Linked DNA regions of Macaca mulatta. The protein of the gene in region 3 interacts with the protein of the main gene of each other region in a pairwise test. Links are inferred from orthologs where the notes say so. Each region holds a gene or a part of one and is shown on either strand. Other genes may lie near its edges.

Region 1 (3,746 bases), on a different chromosome or scaffold from region 3:
TAGGCACACACACCACCTCCATCTTTTCACAAAAAGGAAGTTCCCCTTCTACCTTCCAGCCCCAACCCCTCCAAAAACATCTTGCTCTCTGGCCCTGGAAACTAGCTCCACCTTCAGACTTGCCAAAAACTACCAGATTCATCACAAAGAGCTGTGGAGTCTCCTGGATTCCCAACTCTGGCCTCCTACTCCCATCTCTGAGCTACTTGGCAGGAAGAGGAATCCTGTTCCTCGACTCACAGCAGTCGGGGGCCCCAGTACCCTGGCTTCCCTGCCAGCCAATCACAGCAGCCTGCTTGCTGCCCTCCTCCCTGGGAGATGGGGCCCAGAGACTCCTCTCAGGGTCAGCAGAAGACTTGGCCCGCCACAGAGCAAGGTGGAAGAAAGTGCCAGCTCACCCACCCTCTCCCCCCAGCCCCCTAGGAGACAATCTGCATGTCCTAAATAACCTCTTCCAGATCCAGCAGCTGCCCGGGACTGAGGCTCCTTCTGAGGCGGGACAGAACCGGTGACTTTCCTGCCCTGTCTGAGCCCAGCCCAAGTTTCCAGCAAGAGGCCCAGGGAGCCACTTCCCAAACCACAGGAGTGACAGCAGCTCCCCACAGGGTTATGAAAGACCTTGGTCAGAGAGGGCGGGCCGGGGGAGGGGGCACCATTATCACATCGGAAGCAGCTGCAGCTCACCTCCCTGCCTGTCCCTCAGCTTGGGCCTTTGGCTAAGGGGGGTAGAGGGAGCTGTTTCCACCAGGCCCAAAGCAGCTGCTCCAGTTCCTCAGAATGAGGACAGGAAAGGATTAGGAAGAAGCTGTCTCTTCCGGGATATAAGAGGAAGCAAAGAAGGTGGGATGAAATACATCAGCCCTTCCTTAAAGCAATCAGAGCCTGGCTTTAATTGGCTCTGGGAGGTTTTTCTATCACAAAGTCCACATGAGGATAAAGACTCAACCAAGGCAAACCCCCTCCCCCACATGAAGCACATTCCACTCCCCTACTCCAGTGGGGGTGTGCAGGCATGCCCTTCTGCTGCCAATAAATAACTCATGGTGGCTGCGTAAACCCAGAGGCAAAGTACTAGTGAGTGTAGACATGCAGTTTGACTTGTTGCTATCTGAGGGAAAGACCAGGAAGGAGTGGCATCCCCTGGAGGTCAGGAGGGCGTTTAATGCCTGACTGCAGCTCGAGCCTAGGCGGGAGTGATACTAACCATCACACCACACTGCCCCATCGTTTGTTCCACCCTAATTCCCTTCCCAAAGGTCCTGATCGCCTTGCGCCCTCTCCAGGGAGCAGAAAGCCTCTGATATCTCAAGCGTTCCTTTTCCTGGAAAGTGGGGAGACAGTATGTGTCGGGGGTGGGGGGAGTTACACACGCACCCGCAACTGGCGGGGAGAGACAGCGTGGTCGGTGTAGATGCACAGTTTTTCGATGGTCAGGGGCGTGGTCTCGCGCAGCTTGGAGGCCAGCAGCATGCAGACCGCACCCAGGAGCTGCAACTGCGCCTTTCGGGTGGGGACACAGGACAGGTAGCGATCCAGGTAGTTCATGGCCAGGGGGAAGACTTCCTCCTCACAGCGCTGCTCCTCACATACCTGGGGGAGGGCGCACAGTCACTGCTGGGGCCGGAGCGTGGGGAACACAGCAGCGCGGGGGTGGGGGCGCTGAAGTGAGGTGGGATAGGGAGCAAAAACGGGAGAGAGGGTAAGCTACTTACAGAGACAAGGACCAATAAAGGAGGAGGATGGGCCCTCCCCAAGGTGACGCCCCCCACTTCCTCTGCGCGGCCTCCTCCCCTCTCCCCTTGGTGGGGTGGGGGTGGTAAAGTCAAGGAGCCCTTCCTCAAGAAGGATTCCAAACGGAGACTCCCCTCCCCCACAGCGACGGGAAGTGGGACGCAAGGGTCACCCATGGTAGCCAGAGAGCTGGGACCTCACCCCCATCACCGCCACCACTGCACACACCCGAAGGGAAGGGAGGAGGCTCCTGCCACTGCCTCCCGCACTTTTCATTTCCCTGTCGGCCGGAACAGGGCGCGCGCCACCCCCATCGCCTTCCCCGCCAGAACCCCGCGACAGACACAGGAACCGGCTCCCGGGCGGGGGCGGCCGAGCCCAGGGTTTTCCAGGCGCGCTCTCCGGAGAAGGCCGGGAGGGGGAGGGAAGTGGGAGACGCTGTGAGAAGCCGAAGGGGAGACGATGTCCCTGGTCCCGTTTTCTCGGCCCGAAGAGAGGCACAGTTACGGTGCCAAGTGACTGGCACTCACAGTTGGGAGGAGCCGATTAGGGCTCGGGAAAGCAAGGGAGGCAGCTGGCTAGGGTGCCCTAGTGAAAGGCCAGGCCCCGGGGGTCTTAGCCTCGGAGCATCCTGCAGATTGCTGTGGGGACCGCGATGTCCCGACAGGGCGGCCCCGGTGTGTCCAGACCCGGGAGCGGTGGGGGAGGGGGACGCGTCCGGGCGGTACCTCCAGCATCCAGTAAGCCAGCATCTTCCGCATGTGCGGCTTTATCTCCCGCTGCACGCACTGGAAGTAGGAGGCGCGGGGCACGTAGCGCTCCTCCAGGCGGAGCAGGCTCTGCAGGACACGCTGGTCCCCGAGTAGCCGCGGGTCCGGCCCGGCCCGGGGCGCGTGCCGGGTGCCTTCGCAACACAGCAGCTCCATACTCGGGCAGCGCACAGGCAGGGCGGGAGTGCGGGCTCGCGAGTTTCAAGGCAGGCGACGGGCCGGAGAGCGCGGAGAGCGGGTCTGGCGCTGGCGCTGGCGCTGGCACTGCGCGGCGGATCCCCAGCCCGCCCGCCGCCCGCGCGCGCCGCTTCCCTGACAGGCGCCCCGCCCCTCGCGACGATGTAGCAACCGTGGAATGCTCGGACGTCGCAACGCTCCGAGGGGCGGGGCTGCGGCGCCCCGGACGGAAAGGGCTGGCTGGGCGCTCTCCCCTCCCTCCCGCGGCCCCATTGGGCCGCTGAGCGCAAGCCGGCCGGCTTCCGGGCACTCCGGGCCCTCTGGACCACCGGGTGCAGAGAACTTTCTAGGAGGTGGGCCTCCTACCCACCCACGAGCCCTCCCATTTTGCTTCTCGGACTCTAGTCACCCAGGAAAGAATTTTTCTCCAAAGGTCATTCATTCACTTATTCATTCGTCAAACCCTACTTCACCGGCTGCTTGCTCTAAGGAATGCGATAAATAATGTCAGAGTCAGTTCTTAGTGAACACTGCTCCAAAGCCTCACAATGTAATGACTCACTACATCTTCACGAAAACTCGGAAACCGAGGCAACTGTCATTCGGTTGGCCCGTGGCAGAGCTAGGATTGGGAATCTGGCCTTCTTGCTCCAGATTCTGTGCTCTACACCACTGCTAGTTAAACAGTGATCCCAGACCTGTCCCGTGCATGGTCATCGCCTGGGAGCTGGTTAGAAATGCAGACTCTCAGGCCCACCCCTAACCTGAATCAGAATCTGCATTTTAACTAGATTTCTGTGCACTTTAAAGTATGAGAGCTGGGCCGGGCGCGGTGGCTCACGCCTGTAATCCCAGCACTTTGGGAGGCCGAGGCGGGCGGATCACAAGGTCAGGAGATCGAGACCACGGTGAAACCCCGTCTCTACTAAAAATACAAAAAATTAGCCGGGCGCGGTTGTGGGCGCCTGTAGTCCCAGCTACTCGGGAGGCTGAGGCAGGAGAATGGCGTGAACCCGGGAGGCGGAGCTTGCAGTGAGCCGAGATCGCGCCACTGCACTCCAGCCTGGG
Region 2 (3,746 bases), on a different chromosome or scaffold from region 3:
CCAGCACCACACCCCTCTCTTATGTTTCATTATTACTGCATAAATTTCCTTTATTACTCATGATAAATAAAAATAAAATACTTGACAAAGTGGGTTTAAATAGGTAAGAGTGCAAAGATTTACTGTGCAAATATGATGAAACTGGGATCTCAGATTCTTAAAGCACAATTTTTTTTTGTCTTGTGTGCTAGGTTGCCACTCTCAATCTCGAACTAGTTTTCTCTCTCTCTCTCTCTCTCTCTCTCTCTCTTTTAAGGGTTGTATCCATAATGCAAACATGGAAAGAATTAAAAAGCACATGCAAAACATGATTCTCGGGATTTTTCTCTATTTTTATGGTTGACAAATTCAAATAGAAAGACACATCCAAGAGAAAACCGCTAAGGTTGACACAAGATATGAAACTTGTGAAGTTCAAGTACTGCCTAGGGATGAATTTAACTTGTATGACAGGTGCAGAGCTGTCGCTCTCAGACATCTTAAGAAAGACAGAGTTATTTTCAATGCCTTTCTCTCGGCCACAAGGGAGCCACTAACGTCTCCACAGTGAAACCAACTGGCATAAGGCTGAAGGAACAGAAATCCTCTGCTCCGCCTACTGGGGATTAGTTGCTGAGGGTAGTGGGTCAACATTCCCAAAATATTAGCCTTGGCTTTACCGGACATCCAGCGAGCAGTCCAGCCGGCATTCCTGGCGGCTCCCTGGCCCAGTCTCTGGCGCATGCGTCTCAGCACCTTTGGGCAGGCTTCCCCTCCCTCGTGACGCGTCGGCCGGGGCCTGGCCTCCCGGCGAGCACAGCGGACAGGGGGCGGAGCCTAAGGGGGTGGGGAGAGGCCGGCCCCTTGGCCCAGCTGAAAACGGAATTCTTTGCCGGCTGGCTCCCCACTCTGCCAGAGCGAGGCGGGGTAGTGAGGACTCCGCGACGCGTCCGCACCCTGCGGCCAGAGCCGCTTTGAGCTCAGCTGCGGCCGCGCTAGGCGCTTTTCCCCAGAAGCAATCCAGGAGCGCCCGCTAGTTCTTGAGCGCCAGGAAAAGCCCGGAGCTAACTACCGGCGGCTCGACCATTGCACGGGGCCCCAAGCCGCAGAAGGACGGCGGGAGGGTAATGAAGCTGAGCCCAGCTCTTCTAGGAAGGAGAGAGTGCGCCGGAGCAGCGTGGGAAAGAAGGGAGGAGTGTCGTTAAGTTTACGGCCAACGGTGGATTATCCGGGCCTCTGCGCGTCTGGGGACTGCGGAATGCGCGAGGAGAACAAGGGCATGCCCAGTGGAGGCGGCAGCGATGAGGGCCTGACCAGCGCCGCGGCGCGGGGACTAGTGGAGAAGGTGCGACAGCTCCTGGAAGCCGGCGCGGATCCCAACGGAGTCAACCGCTTCGGGAGGCGCGCGATCCAGGTAGCTGGGGCCCCAGGGCCTCGCCGGCAGGGGGCGCGCGAACGCGGGGCGCGGCCTCGGCGGGTCGGGGCTGGAATCAAGATCGCCGATGTAGATTTGTATAGCAGTCTCCCTTGGCCGGAGGTGTGCAGCCCAGGCGTAAAACAAGCTTTTATCCAGCAAAAATTCTAAAGAGAGACATTGAAAAATCCACTGTTTAAGCTTTTCTAGTGGTTTTTGTTCTGCCATCTCATCATCAGAGATGCAAGGAATAGATTGAATTGGGGAGAAAAGGCGAAAAGGAAAGGTTATTTAGGGAGGACGATTATCTTGTCTGTTTGCTTTCAACGATAAAGATAAGTAAACTATAAGTTACACATTCTGGATTGGATTTAAGGAATTCTACAAAATCATAGTACATGGAAAAAAATCAGTGTAAACTTTTAAGCTACTATATGAAATCTGTTGTATTGTTTTCTCATGGAGGCTAATTGAATTCAAAGGAATGAGACCGGAATCCTCAGCCACAGCACTTAGTTCCTTTTATGTTAGCAGTGTCTTATGAGTGATGCATAAGAGAAAAAATATATAGTTCTATAGGTTTCTCATTCTTTAATTATCATACTCAGTGCCCAGATTACAAAAATATTCCTGCAGCAACTGTTAGGTCCTTTTTGAATGGCAAAGGATCTTCATAAATAATGCATCCTTATCTTCATCGTTAAAATACACTTATTCAATGTTTACGAATCCTGCTTTAATTAGTACTGATATTTTTAATTTATTTTACAATCTAGGACAATGCTTTTGTACTTTACTGTTGGCTATTGGCCATATTCAGTATTCACCTCACTATCACCCTCCAAAACTAAGCTAATATTAAGGAATCTTGTTAATAGTGTAGATTTTAAAGAAGTGTTCATTTCTTTTGAATTCTTAGAATAGTGGTATAACAAATAAGGGATTTTTAAAGGAGCAAAACTATTGTAAAGTGCTTCTTAAAAACTTAAAATTCTATTAATAATTATAAAACAAGTTATATATGTAATTCACCATTTTCTGAAATACTAAGAACAGCTATTTTCCCCTCTTTTTTCTATGTAAACTATCCTTACATCACTAGTAGATATAACTTATGGTTTTCAAGAGATGAAATGAACATTTCTAATATTAATGAAACAAGCTGACAAAACATGAGAAGTATACTGCCTTTCAATTAAATGGTATATTTTAAAGTACATAAACCCATAACAAATAACTCAATTTTAGACATTTGTTACCAAAAATTGTCTTATAATTAACTTAAAATATGACAGCAAATGTTTTCATAATGTTCATGTTCACAAACGGCTGCTACAGGATTACTCCTGCAAAACATCATTTTTTTCTAAGTTATGCATCATCCTGATTGCTAACATCCAAGCTCTATTTATTTATTTATTTATTTATTTATTTATTTGAGACGAGGCCTCACTTTGTCAGCCAGGCTGGAGTGCACTGGTGTGATCTCAGCTCACTGCAACCTCTGCTTTCAGGGTGCAAGTGATTCTCCTGCCTCAGCCTCCTGAGTTGCTGGGACTTCAGGCACGCCCCACCATGCCCATCTTATTTATTTATTTATTTATTGTAGTACAGACGGGATTTCACCATATTGGCCAGGCTGGTCTCGAACTCCTGACCTCAGGTGATCTGCCCACTTTGGCCTCCCAAAGTGCTGGAATTACAAGCATAAGCCACTGTGCCTGGCCCAAGCTCTTTTTATACAGCAAAATATTTACTGTTTAACGTTTTTAAATCTTAGCTATTATAAAATCCTGTAGTATATATAGTTAGTTTTATGTTACATTAAAAATGTTATACTCTAAAATAAAAATGATGAACTGTTTATTAAGGAAAAATCATTTATTCTTGTAATTTTATAAGATTTTGCATGATTTAATTTACTTTTCCCTTCTAATCTCCAACTTTGGCTCAAATTATCACAGTACAATCCAGTTATGAGCACAGACACATGACAAACAAAAGCCTTCCACACAGGATTTGCTATGAGAACTAAATAAATTTTAAAAAGAAAGGAAGAAAAAAGAAACTTAATTGTTTATTTTCTCCCCTAAACCATTACTCCCAACTTCTAACAAACAGTAGTTGAGTACCTAATAAACATTTTTGGACCTGGATTATGGAGGAGGGGTCAGGAAGGCAAATAATTTAAAACTTTAAAAGCCAAATAAATTTAACTCTGCCCATAAATCACTTAACAAAATAGATTCCCATGTTCCGATGGAAATCAAGATTTGTTTTTCCACAATGACGATCATCACTTTACCATCAACTTTCTTGTCTCTACACGTTTAGAGAATAAAATGGCATTTAA
Region 3 (3,746 bases):
GAGTGTGCCGGGAGCGCGGGGGAGGGGAGGCGCCGGGCACGTCAATGTCACGGCTTAATATTTATCCCTATATCATTGTGTTGCGTCGCTACCCTCCCCGCCTCCTGAGGCCCGGACGTGCAGGGAGATGGGGTCCAGGGGTGCCGGAGGGCGTTCAAGGGTCGCGCACAAGCTGGAGCGGAAGGACTGTGGGTCCATCCGTGTGGGGCCGCAGAATGTGGGTGGGGGCTCCCAGGACCCTGTAACCCGATGCTGTGAGTGTGCGAGAAGGGGTGGTCAGACATCTGCTCAGAAATTGCTTCCTTTCTTTCTACTTTCAGTTTTTCTACGAGGAGACATTTAAAAACGACTCGCATACACAAATGGTCTCTTTGGGGTAAAGGAGTCTCGGTTGGAAACGGAATTCTCTCTCCGACTGGGAGGACCTCCCTGGTGGAAACCTTGGGAAGACCAGCCATCTGGTCGGGGAGGGTTGGGGCTAATCGGGGGTGGGCGAACGAGAGGTCCTGGGGGAGGGGAGACACTGTCCCCCACGGGATCCCAAGGGTGGGAGAAAGGGGTGTTCGTCACAATTTCGCTTGTCGTCTTCTTAAAGAATAATTTCAGGAAGAGGATAGCTTAATCGCGCCTCGTCCTGAAGTTTTAAATTGATTTCGACCTGAGCAAAACTCAACCTCTCTTTCAAAGGGTGGGGGGTGGGGGGTTAAACCCTGCGCCTCCAGGGGTGAGAAACAAGGTCTCTGCCCTCGGGGCCCGGACTCGCGAACCTTTTCCCACTCCCAGGACCACCCCGCTGTAGGTAGCGGAGGTGGCTGCCCCATTCCCTCTCCGGCTAAAGGCCGGGTCCAGGCTGCAGCCGGACGCCCCCGGAGCCCTCTGCATAACAAAGCGCCGGAGAAGGGTACCCTAACTTTCCCTCCCCATTCAGCAGCTATCTGGGACCTAGGGAGCCTCCCTCCCCCACGGCCGCCGCGGCCTCGGCAGGACTTTCACCACGCTGGCCGCGTGTCCGGAATTCCCGGGGCACCTCGGAATTACCTGCCTCGCAACCGCTGCCCCGCTCGCCTTTTGCCAGGAATTAAACAAACGGCGCGACCCCCACGATGAGCGCGTGGAGCGGACCGCGGCGAAAGCAGTGCTTCTGGCACTCACTCCATTCAGAACTTTCCTTAAAAGCCGAGGAAAGAGCCCCCAAGGACTGCCCGGGCGTCTGAGCCAGGTCGAGGGCCACACAGGTAGCCGGGGAGCCGCCGCCGGCCGCCCAACCCGCCTCTCCTGCGTCCCCCCATCCCCCTCCCGCTCGAGTCTAGCCCCGGGCTCCGCAGCGAAGGAAGCGTCGGGGACGTCCCACCCCCGCAGGGAACTTCGCCTGCTGCCCCCGCCGGGCCCCGCACTACCCTGACTCTCCCCCCACTCGCCCCCCAGACGGTCGGCTTCGGCGGAGAGAAACGGGAGCAGCAATGCCTTTTCCCCCCCTCTCCTCCACTTTTTTTTTGTTGTTGTTGTTGCTTTCCCACGCTGGCTGAATGTGACTTGACCCCATTTCAAAAAAAGTTTGACATAGTGCTTCAACATTTCCGCATTCCTCCGCGACTACAAAGGCTGCAGCCGCCTCCTTCTGCTTTCTGTCTCTGCTCTCTGTCTTCACACTCAATGAAATCCTTCATGCGCCTCTCCCGAAGCCTGCCAAGCACCACAAGGGTCGCCACCAGCACGGCAACAAGAGGCCACACCGGGGACCGCGACTCCCGCGTGTGCGCACACGCAGATGCGCCCATATGCACACGGACGGGCGCCCTGCGGGGACAAGGGCTGCTCACCACGGGGCGTGTGTTTAACTCCAATATTTTAAATGATAAAAGTAAACTTGGAAACTAAAGCAAACGTGCGTCTTCGTGGGGCTCCAAGCCTGGGCACCGGCCGGCTGCGTGCACTCTTCTGTGCATAACACGCCCGCAGGAAGCCTGCGTTAACATTTATCTCGTGGAGGGGAAGGTGGAGCCCACACCCACACCTCAGCGAGCTGGCGAGGGAGTTTTCGTGGGGGAAATGCAAGCACATTCTCCAGCATGGAGTCCCTAGAGGCAGTGCATTTTGAACCCTAAATGTGAATTATTATGTGAATGTCCGAGTAGAGTTCCAGTTCCGTTTGGAGAAACTGGATGAGGAGTGTTCTGTGTGAGTGTGTGTGCGCACGGGTACGTGGAAGCAGGATCTCGGTGTCGCGGGTGTCCCTAGCGTAGGATCTCCCCCTCTCGTCAGATTAGAATCCTCTAGCTCCCCAAAACTGGCCCCCATAACCAACGCCGTCTCAGTTCGTAAGGGGTTAACCAAAGCCGATTCCAGGGAAACACAGGTCCCCCCCACCCCCCGCCAGCCTCCACTTACCCCACCCACAGTTCTGCCTCGGACCCCGGCCAATCCCCCATATCTCCCCAGGGACCCCCCACCCCGCAGCCCACCCACCCGAGCGCACAGCTCCTCACCTGAGGGGCCCAGTCGCGTCGGGCCTCCTGAGGGGGCTGCGAGTGTCAGTCGGCTCTCCGCACGTGTCCGCGGCCTCGCGGAGCAGGTAATCAGACTCTGGGGAAGGAGTTACCAGCACTCTCTCCGGCGAGGGGGTGGGCACAGCGGCGGAGGGCGGAGGGAAGGCGGAGGGCGCCGCCCGCGCCGCTAGCTGGGGGCGGACGGGGGCCGCGGGGCTCTGGCCGGCGCTGGGGGCCCCAGCCAGGGAGGCAGCGGGGGCGACCGCGCGGGGTGGGGGCAGGGACCCGAGAAGCCAACTCTGCCGGAGACCCACCCAGCGGCGAGGCTGGGGGCTCGTGGCGCAGTGGCAAGAAAGTGTGCAAATTAAAGCCTTCCGGAGAGAAAGGAGGCGGCCAAGCCCCGGCAGTGCTCCGAGCTCCGGGCTCCCTAGCTCCCTTCTACGAGTCGGGGGCTAGAAAGGCGCGGGGCGGGGGGGTTGGGGGGGCAGGGGAGTTAAATGAAAATTTCCGGCTTTCACTGAAACTGTAGTAGGGGGATCCTGCGACTAAAATAAGCGGCGTTAGTGGGAGAGAGTGGGACGTGTCGTCGGGAGTCGGCGGAGTTTCCAAACCCAGGGTCGCCCAGAGTTGGGGTTTTGACAGGGTGAAGCAGGGGGTATCCTCACTGTGTGACGTGGACGGATGGGAAAAACACAAAACAACTAACAATAATTATGAAGGGCCGATGGGGGTGGTAAATACCAATACTTTCCAAGAAACTGAAAAATCAGACCAAAAAATAACTCTTCTCTTAAAAAAATAAAGAAAAAGTTTGGCAGGATGCCTTGCAGAAAAGAAAATACTAATCTGTTCAAGCACTTTTCACTTTCAGCATGAGCTACATTTGTTTTGTTTTCCTTCGCTTCCTTTCTGCCTCACAAAGCCCTATCTTTTCCTTTTAGACAGAGGGTATGGTTTGGAAATTGTCAGGCACTCTTATGGTTAACGATCTACTTGAAGGGGCTGGCGGGTTCACAATTATTAAGTGGTTAGTAACTGCTGAGGGTTCACTAACGTATTTCAGAGGAGCTAAAAAGACTAAAATTTAGTGTAAATAATAGAACTGCAGATAATAGATACATACACAGAAAGAGGAGTGCTCAGTTTAAATGCATTATTGGAAATCTGAAATTTGAAACCTTGTAAGAATGTATACTTTACCTGCTGAGAAACCCTTGAATACAATTATTTCAGGTGAAAATGAGCTTTTGGAGAAAAAAA

Evidence for each region.
Region 1: the proteins of CDK6 (region 3) and CCND3 interact in binary tests that used the Homo sapiens proteins (3 or more experiments, as listed by UniProt). The link is inferred for Macaca mulatta from reciprocal best matches to the Homo sapiens genes CDK6 and CCND3.
Region 2: the proteins of CDK6 (region 3) and CDKN2B interact in binary tests that used the Homo sapiens proteins (3 or more experiments, as listed by UniProt). The link is inferred for Macaca mulatta from reciprocal best matches to the Homo sapiens genes CDK6 and CDKN2B.

What each region holds. Positions count from the first base shown.
Region 1 is NC_133409.1:140,231,530-140,235,275, reverse strand, and holds the start of CCND3 (G1/S-specific cyclin-D3), read right to left. Parts: upstream 2,804-3,746; 5' UTR 2,658-2,803; coding exon 2,460-2,657; intron 2,170-2,459; coding exon of another isoform or gene 1,960-2,169; intron 1,591-1,959; coding exon 1,375-1,590; intron 1-1,374. UniProt on the Homo sapiens protein: Regulatory component of the cyclin D3-CDK4 (DC) complex that phosphorylates and inhibits members of the retinoblastoma (RB) protein family including RB1 and regulates the cell-cycle during G(1)/S transition.
Region 2 is NC_133420.1:77,206,704-77,210,449, forward strand, and holds the start of CDKN2B (cyclin-dependent kinase 4 inhibitor B), read left to right. Parts: upstream 1-956; 5' UTR 957-1,237; coding exon 1,238-1,393; intron 1,394-3,746. UniProt on the Homo sapiens protein: Interacts strongly with CDK4 and CDK6. Potent inhibitor. Potential effector of TGF-beta induced cell cycle arrest.
Region 3 is NC_133408.1:126,535,382-126,539,127, reverse strand, and holds the start of CDK6 (cyclin-dependent kinase 6), read right to left. Parts: upstream 2,613-3,746; 5' UTR 2,487-2,612; intron 1,834-2,486; exon of another isoform or gene 1,039-1,833; intron 1-1,038. UniProt on the Homo sapiens protein: Serine/threonine-protein kinase involved in the control of the cell cycle and differentiation; promotes G1/S transition. Phosphorylates pRB/RB1 and NPM1.